Linked DNA regions of Drosophila melanogaster. The protein of the gene in region 2 purifies or fractionates together with the protein of the main gene of each other region. This does not show direct contact. Each region holds a gene or a part of one and is shown on either strand. Other genes may lie near its edges.

The links.
Region 1: the proteins of ATPsynF (region 2) and Cpr78E fractionate together in Drosophila melanogaster (co-fractionation; one study listed by BioGRID). This does not show direct contact.
Region 3: the proteins of ATPsynF (region 2) and ATPsynE purify together in Drosophila melanogaster (affinity purification with mass spectrometry; 2 studies listed by BioGRID, with this or other methods). This does not show direct contact.

What each region holds. Positions count from the first base shown.
Region 1 is NT_037436.4:21,665,952-21,668,818, forward strand, and holds Cpr78E (cuticular protein 78E), read right to left. Parts: upstream 1,030-2,867; 5' UTR 1,006-1,029; coding exon 994-1,005; intron 928-993; coding exon 526-927; 3' UTR 501-525; downstream 1-500. Other genes in the region: CG43980 (uncharacterized protein), read left to right, coding at 1-69.
Region 2 is NT_033778.4:24,598,507-24,601,846, reverse strand, and holds ATPsynF (ATP synthase, subunit F), read left to right. Parts: upstream 1-2,025; 5' UTR 2,026-2,080; exon of another isoform or gene 2,081-2,147; 5' UTR 2,148-2,151; coding exon 2,152-2,230; intron 2,231-2,349; coding exon 2,350-2,594; 3' UTR 2,595-2,755; downstream 2,756-3,340. Other genes in the region: CG3548 (uncharacterized protein), read right to left, coding at 235-738, 867-1,386, 1,462-1,799; CG13587 (uncharacterized protein), read right to left, coding at 2,756-2,948, 3,014-3,340. UniProt on the Drosophila melanogaster protein: Mitochondrial membrane ATP synthase (F(1)F(0) ATP synthase or Complex V) produces ATP from ADP in the presence of a proton gradient across the membrane which is generated by electron transport complexes of the respiratory chain.
Region 3 is NT_033777.3:14,324,791-14,328,235, forward strand, and holds ATPsynE (ATP synthase, subunit E), read left to right. Parts: upstream 1-2,156; 5' UTR 2,157-2,337; exon of another isoform or gene 2,338-2,393; intron 2,394-2,462; 5' UTR 2,463-2,500; coding exon 2,501-2,746; 3' UTR 2,747-2,945; downstream 2,946-3,445. Other genes in the region: Afti (aftiphilin), read right to left, coding at 1-1,288, 1,347-1,491; spn-B (spindle B), read left to right, coding at 3,421-3,445.

The DNA.
Region 1 (2,867 bases), on a different chromosome or scaffold from region 2:
AAGCCCAACTCGGGTGGTGGTCTGGTCAACTCCTACCGATCGCCCCCGGTCACGCCTGTGAAAAAATGAAGTGAAGTGAAGTGATGGAGCTCTGCTTCCACACACTTCTCTCTCGACGAAATCGAATTCTTATTTATTGCATTGTTTTTAATTTAATCTCTGAGCTTTTATGTATTATAATAGTTTCCCTGCCCGCCCCGACCTCCTTTCCCACCTTCCTAGTTGTATTTTTGTATTTTCAATTTGTTCAGCGCACTGTTAACCTCTACGAACCCCAAGATGGCCGAGCAGGCGGTCCTCTAGCTATTATTGGTAGTTGAAATTGTTTCTGCATTAAATGAAGGAAGTAAAATTGTAACTACCAAATCTTTCATTTGAATGGAGGCAGCATTCAAATATTGAATCACCTTTCCCTCATCGGAGATTTCGAGTTCTCAGCCATTACTTTGCAATTATATCTGGATGTTTTGCTGGAGAACACAACTAAAACAACACCAATTAGATTCCATTTCAGTGCCTCGTTTATTAGACCTTAGGAGGCTTAGCATAGTCAAGATCTGGTTGGGGCACCTGCTCGCTGACCTGCTTGGCGGCCAGCGAAATCTGGGGCAGGATTGCTCCGCCCTCTGGTACAAATCCGTGGTCATCGGCCTTGTAGGTGACGGTCACCTCCTGTCCGTTGGCATCGAAGTAGGAGTAGGAGCCGCTGATCTCCAGGTACTCGTTCTCGGTGCCTTGGTTTCTGACCACGGCCTCCTCCCTTCTGTGGGTGCCGTCCTCGCCGAGGTAAGAGAAGTTGTACGATCCATCCTCGTGCTTTTCGTGAGATGATTCGAGAATGGCCACCGGTGGCTGGGTGGTGGATGTGACGTGGTCCACTGGAGCACTCAGCACGACGGCCGTGCAAAGGGACAGGGCGACGATGAGCTGGAAAGATGGTTTAGGAATGGGCTAATCCTTGGAGTGATCGCCTCTCGGCGGCGCGATACTCACAATCTTAAACATGCTGCTGTCTGGAGGGGAAGCTGGCTTTGAATTGACTCCGAGTGAGGGAAGACTGCTCTTTATATTTCCAAAACTGAAGTGGAATTGGAATTGCTGGTCGCCTTGTTTACCGGTTATCGTCCGGCATCCAGACACTCACTTACATACACTCCATATGTACAAATTGAGTCCGCGGGTATTTACTTGAAACCCGTTCTAAGAATTAATTAAAGAGCGAGCTTCTTACCCAGGCCCATCTGCCATCTCCCATTGCAATTTCGAATCTCGGCCTGCAATTTGAGATTCCTAATTTATGTTCGACCCCGGATCAGGGTCTCACTTACTTATCTCTGCTATAGTAGCATTCGGTTTCGGGAGAATTAAAAAAAAAAGTTTAAGATGTTTTGCAGTCATTTCAAAAGATCACTGAAAATATGTTACTTTTAAAAATTATTTCTAAGTCGAAGATTTTTACTTCATTTTTCGTAAGGTATTCGTTTAGCTTGTGGAAAATAATGACCAATAAGCATTAGTTCTATTTCGGTTGCCCTGGCCACTTTTCATTACATTGTTTGAGCTTCAGCTGCTTGTGTTGTTTGGGCATTTTCCAGATTCAATTTTTCTCGAACGCCAACACGGCGGGAAGTCGGTTTTCCGCTGCCAATTGTTTACACGAAAACTATAAACAAAGCAAACACACGACGTCCGTCTTCGCGCTGATTCCTGCCTGCTCCCATTGATGTTATTTTTGGCCAGTGGGCATGAGGCTGCACCAAATCTTCCATCCTCTCCAGCCGACCATACTATATGCGTTCCACATAGCAGTACCAGCCGGTCAGATGAAGATGTAAATGCTGGGGACCCATATGATGGAGCTGGAGAAGGGGACGGTATTGGGAATGGGCATGGGGATGGGCCCGGAGGTGGAGATGGAGGTGGGATGGTTGGATGAGCAGGGCTGAATACTTAAAGGTGGCACATACGCATCGTTCGATTCGGATGCGGTCCGATTCCTGGCATTCTGTTTATGCAACAATAAATTTTACATTTAATTTTCGATACATTTGCCAAGTCGAAGATGCCCCGATTTGGATCCATTGGATCGCTGAAGGCGGACGAAGCAATTTGTTCGATTCCGCATGATCGGGGAATCTGGCAAATATTGTTTCTTTGTTCGGGCTGTGTTATAATTAATTATTAATCGAAATCCTGAATACCGTTTGAGTATTGAGCAATCAGAAAAATTACTAAGCACATGACTGCTGGCACGATTTTGAGTTTTCTCTGCCTTGGTGTTTGATTTCCAAATGTGCTTTGTACCAGTGAATGGGAATACGTATTCCCAAATGCTGTAATTTTAGGAATTTAGTCATTGGGTGTTGTCCCCCTGTGTGTTCCGATACTCAATAGATTTTTATAAGCTATTTCCGAATAATTTTCGGTACGATTTTATATACCTGCACTGAAAGTTTCGCTGCCATTCACAACTTTTAATTACCAAAAGATCATTAAAACGTACGAAGCTGCACAGAAAACATGAAAAGTTCTATCTTTAAACTTAATTAGAGTTCTTCGGCTTTGGCGACTTTATGACTTTTTGTTAGATGCTCATGATTTTGATGATAATGATCGCAGATGAGCCGTAAAATGAGTTGAATGCGTCGTTGCGTCAGTTGACTTTGATTAGTCAGATGAAATATATTCTCGAGTGTATATCACCAAACGATGAAATACTTACTAATACTATATACACCTGGATCACCTGCAAATCGCTGAGCAAACTCATAGTAAATACGCCTTTTTCCCTTTCCTGTCGTTGTGGAATTGAAACGCCAGTAAGCGGAAAAAGACAAATCGACTAGAATTTGTGTATCCACTTTTCA
Region 2 (3,340 bases):
AAACAACAGTCCATTCGTCCGAGTGGCAACTTGAGTGTGTCGATGAGTATTGTATGCGCGTCCGGCGTTTACGTTTCCGTTTCCGGTTACTCTGGCTGACCGGAAGAGCTACATTTCGCTAAACATATTTCAAGCTAAATTTTAAAGTACTGTTGATGTTTCCTCTAAATGCCTTACACCCTAATTGCTGGCTCTCTTCGTATTGTATATGCATATGGGCCAACAGCCACGCCCCTAGTTGCAGGCGGCATTGAGCGCCAGCGCCCCCTCCGCACTGGTCGATGGCCCGACCTCGTGGACATTGTTGTAGTCCGCTTTGGCATTGCACTTTGCTGAACTCTGATCCTGTATGCTTCCGTTCAGGCCACCGCTCTTCAGCGAGTAGATCCCCAGGCGCGCCTCGTGCTCCCGTCGTTGCTGCCGCAGCCGGATGTCGTGCTCCTCGCGCATGTGCCGCAGCTTGAGGTCCTGCTCCTGCCGGTAGTAGGCCATCTTCACCTCCTGCTCCATCTGCTCGAAGCGCAGCTTCTGCTCGTGTTCCCGCCGGGCGTAGTCGATTTCGGCCAGACGGGCCTGCTTGAGCAGCCTAAACAGGTCCTGCTTGTACTTCTGCTCTATCTCCGTGGCGGCGACCAAATCTAAGGACTGGCTATTTGTGTCTGCAACTGGGGTGGCGCTCGGAGCTGCGTTGGTGGAGGCTTCGTTCTCGTCGGACAGCAGCGACTGGGCCTGTGAGAGCTGGTTAACGATGAGATAGTATTATTAGTAAGAAAGATTAAGATTCCCCTTCACAAAAATTTGCAACTTGTTCAGCTAAACCTTAATTAATAATAATAAATAAACTTGCGGCTTGTGTTCAAACTCACATTCCTTTGTCGCCGCTTTCGTGGTGGGCCTACGCCCTTTTCGTTCTCCTCCCCCGTTTCGCCGGACGTTTCTGTCTTGGCGCCCGAGGGCGACTGCTTGGCCTTGGTCCGCTTGCGTCGCTGGGCTGGCAGCTGGGCGGGATTTCCCTCCTGCTGGGAGTCCCCGTCTCCGCCAGCAGTGGAGGGCGGCGGCGAGGGGATGGCTATTGTGGAGGTCTGCAGCGTGTCCTCGCTGGCGTTCGTAGAGTTGGGCAGAGCGGCCAGCGGCATGTCTTCGTCCTCGTCGATGTCCATGAGCTCCTTCTTAAGAGCGCCGTTTGTGTTCGCGCTGCGTGTCTGACTGCGCGAGGTGACCGGATCCTTCTGCATCTCCTCCAGGAACTCGATCATCCGCATGCCTTCCAGGGCCTCCGTTTTCGGATGCTTCTGCTGGTGCTCCCGCTTGGCGGAGTTCTTCATGCTGCGCCACTGCACCTGGATCTGCTCCAGCAGGCGATGGCGGAAGTTAAGGGCATTGAACCTGGATGGGGGGTTGGAATGGAAGGAGTGAAGGGCCATTATAAGACGAGCTCCACTGCCCAATGGCGCAACTTACTGCTTGGTGATCTGCGACCAGGCCAGACGCTTGGCCTTTATGCTCTTGGCGTCCACGCTCCGGTTCTCCACGAAGGCCACCTTGGACTTGATGACCTCAAGGAGCAGCCCCCTTTCCGCCTCCTCCCAGTTAAGGGAGCGTTTCTTGCGCGTGCCCTTCTTCTTGCCACCCGCGCCTTCCTTCTCGCCAGCATCCTCGGCCGCATCCTCCGCGTTCTCCGCCCCCTCGTCCGCGGTGGCGCTGCTTGACTTCTGCGGCTTCAGCTCCACCTTCTCGTCCTCGTCGTCGTCCTCCGGCGGAGAGGAGGCTCCCTTGGTCAGCAACTCCTCCAGTTTCATTGTTTTTGTTTACACACTGGATTCGCTTTGGCTGGATTCTGATTCGAATGCCCAGGCTTGCAAAAATCCTATTTGATTTCTGTATATACTGGAGCTTAGTGATGTGAGAAGTGCATCGTGCATCGGGCATCGATATATTCGCTGTATCGATGACGTAGCGAATACATCCTCCCTGTTAGCGGAGACGCACACAATAAATTCGCACATAGTATATTTCGGTATATTGGTCGATGAAAATCCCAGCTCTCGCCGCTTTGGTCATACTGTCAGTATCGAAGGAAGTAAGTAGCAGGCGTAATTTTATGTTTCATAAGAATCCGATTTAAGAATATATCTCAACCAAACCAGCGCGATGGCATTCGGTGACTATCCAGCTGAGTACAACCCCAAGGTGCACGGGCCCTACGACCCCGCTCGCTTCTACGGCAAAGGTGAGCAGGTTACGTAATTTTTGCGGCAGGCACAGAGCACATTTGCACTGCCCAAAAATGTGCAGCGTTTTACATAATTTAAACAACTTTCCGACCTCTCCGCTCTCTCCGATCCGCAGCCGATGTGCCCTTCGGCCAGGTCAAGCTGGGCGAGATCGGCGCCTGGCTGGGACGCCGCAACAAGACCCCCAACGCTGTGGCCGGAGCTGTGAGCCGTGCCTGGTGGCGCTGGCAGCACAAGTACGTGTTCCCAAAGCGCGCCGGGATCGCTCCCTTCTTCCAGCTGACCGTCGCCAGCATGACGTTCTTCTATCTGATTAACTACACCAAGTTGAAGCACCACAGGAACTACAAGTACCACTAAGCGGCGCTGCCCGGTGGTCCTGCATCTGCAACAGATTCTACACTTTCCACAAGGCGTGCGAGAGGCGGGCAATCACCACTAAACTATATCTATTTGGCTTTTGTGTTTTGAAAACTGCTTAAGTGAATAAAACGGCTGCGAATATCCATGCTGCCATAGACTCAGACTCGGTCTCTTCCGCACTCGAAGACTGCATTTGGGCCGATGTCCAGCTCGGAACTGGACTGCTCCCAGCCGAAAGTTGACCGGGCCGTGTGGATTTCGCAGATAAAGGGCAGCTCCCGGTCGCAGTTCAGGGTTTGCCAGGTTCCCTGCGGCGTCAAGGCCACGCAGCTGGCGTTGCCCAGATCACCACTGCAAATTCGGTTAGATTTAGAGAAGATAGCATTGGCGGCTAACCTAATAAACTGTCAGCCTACCCAACTCGAGGATGACCACCATCCCAGGCTCTGTAAAGAAAGCACTGCAAGCTCTCCCCTTGGGAGTTCCTGAAGTCCAGTGGGCTCAATGACGTTGAGCTGTTGTAGGCCAAACCCACATAGGCCAGATAGACATTACCTTCTGCCAGAGACTGTGATTTCCTGTTGAATTCCACTAGCCATTGGGCCAATAAACTGGTTCTGTGTTCGGATGCGATGTGGGCCAGACTACCAGTGAACTCCGAGGAGTTTGAACAGGTCAGTGAGGCATTCAAGTAGGCACTAGGCTGAGTATACACCACGAACAGCCCAACCTCCGGTATGCAG
Region 3 (3,445 bases), on a different chromosome or scaffold from region 2:
AGGGCGTGTCTCATTTCCGAGCTGCTCCATTGGTAATCAAGGGCTTGGGCATGCTCTATGGCACCAAAATTGAATCGCTGGCACTGAGCCAAAGGCCTGCGATTGTCCATACTTTTGCTGTCCAGTTCCGTTGGTTGTGGAAACATCATATCAAGGACTGGCTTAACCCTTTCATCTATGCTCAGATGGACAGCAGCTGGCGGCGGTGGCGGAGGTACAGAAACAGGAGTCACTACGGGCGCGGCGAAGTCGCCAAAATCATCGTCGTCTTCGCTTTGACCGTGGTTTCCATTCGCAGGAGTGGCAAACTCCTGAAAATCATCGAAGCCATCATCGGTCTCTGCAGGAGGTAACTTAGAGGATTCTTCTGTGCTAGGAGCCGTCTTAACCTCTAGAGGTTGAGATTCCGTTCGGGAATTGATTGCTAAGGAAGGTGTCTCAAAGGCAGACGTTGAATTCTCCGTGATTTCTAGTTGGGGTTCTGCTGCTGAGAAATCCGCAAAGTCACCGAAGTCATCATCATCTTCTTGCTCTTGCATTTCGGGAACAATTTCTTTGTGTACTAAGTCTTTTGGCGTCGCATCAAGATTTGTAAATGAATATGTATCACTATTTGCTGGTTCACCCCATTGGTGAGGGGATTCCTCCTGATTTGGAGGATTTGATAAGCCACGGCTTTGATTTTCCATAGGCTTTTCTAAGGTATTTGAACTTTCCTCCTGGGCTTCCAAACTTCTAAAGCTTTCTTCTGGCTGGGAGGTATTCTCTACGTATTCTCCTTTCCCTGTATCCACATTCTCCTCCGAAAAGCCTTCTCCATATGGTAGGGTTGGAGTGGCCAATACCTCTATGGCAAAGAAATCCACAGCTCCCTCGCGTATAAATAGTTCTTTGGGCTTCTTTGGCGAGCACTCCTCGTCGCTGTCATCGGACACATCCTCCAGCGTGACTTGGTGGCTGAGGATATGGGCTTTGGTTGTTTGCATAGCCGGCGGAGCAACTGCACTAGTCTCCGCAACCGGTGAGAGTGTGGAGGCGGCAGAAACGCTTTCCGTGGAATAGAGACTTAGACTGTCCAACTTAAGGGAGGGCACATGCTCCTCCAGTTCCTCATCATCCAGTTCCAAGCTCAACGGAGGCGGCGTCGGCGGTGCTGTTTCCTCGAAAACATCGTAATCCATCTTCTGTTTCACCTGGTAATTAAATGCCTCGACGGTTTGTTTGTCTTCCAGCAAATCAGGTGGCTTTTCTCGAAATTCCTCCACGGGATCTGGTGGTGGAGGGGGTTCTAAAAAGCGAGAATTAACTGAGTATCACTTTGAGATTCGATAAATATCTAAGCTTGCCTTTCGAGCTGCTGACTAAGCCAAAATCTGAGTATTCGTCACCCTCGTCCAAATGGATGGTGGATTGTAAACCGGAATCGTCGTCTTCCTCACCAAAATCGATGGGCGGGGGGGTGCTGCAGAGCAGCGGTGGTACATTCACCATAATGCCAGCTGCAAAATTCAGTAAAAGGATCCCCTAAAATTCACTTCCTGCTTCAAGAAGAACAACAAAAACGCTGGGAACGGTTCGATCTTCTATCTCTCTCGCTCCACTTTATCACTGTGTGTGTGGTGTGTATGTGTGACGCAGGTGTGGAGGGCCTGCAAGTGTGTGTGTGTGTGTTAGCCACTCAAGGTCTGTGTTGGAATTTTCTTGTTTGCATTTAACACGCGTCAATTTTGTTGTGTCTCTGTATTATGTCTAATTGTCGCCTTATTGGTGGCTCTAAAAACAGATTTGCCGAATTTGCAAGTCGCGTTTTATCTGCAATTAGCCATGTTTTCCAGAAAACAATACTTTTTCCTCTGCCCACAGTGTGAACGTTTAACTTTTGGCCAACCGACAGTGCTGAAAAACGTTGCGCAACATTGATAACATACAAAATTTGAATCTTATCTTTTTCAATTCCCATTTTCGATTTAAATCATTATCCATAGTTCAGATAGAATAGTTATATTAGTTATATTTCTATAATAGATTTTTATTCTTTCCAATTCTTTTACCGTTAAAATTGTATTTGAAAATTATTAGTAACAAGAGTAAAATATACATGAAAGTCTAGGCTGCAGTATGTAATACGTCAAATTTTGTTGGGACACTAAACAACAAATAGTCGTCATAAAGGCTTCTTTTAAATTGTTATGATATTTTCCACAATTTCTGCATACTTTTTTAAGCTTGCTGGCAACGCCGCCACCGTACCAATACAACTATCGATAGCCGCCTGTCAGTTTTGACAGCTGTTTTAAGGTTATACTGCGCTGCCGTTGCAATCGCTCCACCAATTTGGTAATTTTGCTTATTTAACATCAAATATTGCATAAAACTAGGAAAACCAGGAATCTGTAAAGTGGAGCGAGACGGGGAACGCTATTAAGGAAGTCGGATAACTAAAGTACATCCTTTTCTTGCAGTTCACGGTCGGACAATTACATAACTTGAAGAAGAAACCATGTCGCAGGCTCCCGTTCGCGTTTCCCCGCTGATCAAGTTCGGCAGATGGTCCCTGCTCCTGGTGGGCATTGCCTACGGCGCCGCCCACCAGAGCCGCCTGTCCAAGAAGGAGGAGAAGTTGCGCGAGATCGAGGCACAGCAGAAGGCCGTCCGTGATGCCAAGCTCGCCGAGGAGAAGAAGCGCAGCGCAGAGGCTGAGGCCCGTGCCTTGGCTGAGCTTTCGAAGCCCACTCCCAAGCACTAGGATCCTTCAGGATGCAACATCCGCAGTTCCCTTAGCTTAAAAACATTGAAAAACCACAACATTTACACACGAAGTTCGCCCAAAAGGAGGAGCATCATCGATAGTGGAGCCACCATCTATCGATCACTGACTATCGTTTTTGTGTTTTCCTCTGATGCTTGTGCAAAAAACAGAATGTTCGAAATTAAATGATTGAAACAAAACCATTATGTAAATACTCTCAAGTGTTTCGTGTTTGTGATTAAGTGGTGTTCACTGGAAATATATTTATATTAGCATAGTGTTTGGATAGGAGAGGATTGAGAGAATTTGAGAGGGTTTGAGCTCCAAATTTGACTAGGAAGTACATATAAATATTTTTGCAAATTGATTATCAATAATTTTCCTAAATTTTGTTTTAAATCTTTTTTGATAAACAACAACTGATAGTTTACCTTATTGGATGCCCACTGTAGTTGCCAGCTGATTGGCCCACTTAAGATATTGGCGCCAACAGCTGATTTCAACCGGCGTTTATTTACACTTTCAATTCGCTCGCAAGTCGTCGCATGGCTCGGCTGTTTGATCAATAATCCCCCGGAATACTTCCAATTCCGGAGGTGTTGAGACACCTTTCGTGTTTCGGGGAGCCATTATATCACGCAATCCCATCGAGGACATGCCATCGCATCGCGATGACAAACTTTCTGGATCAATTGC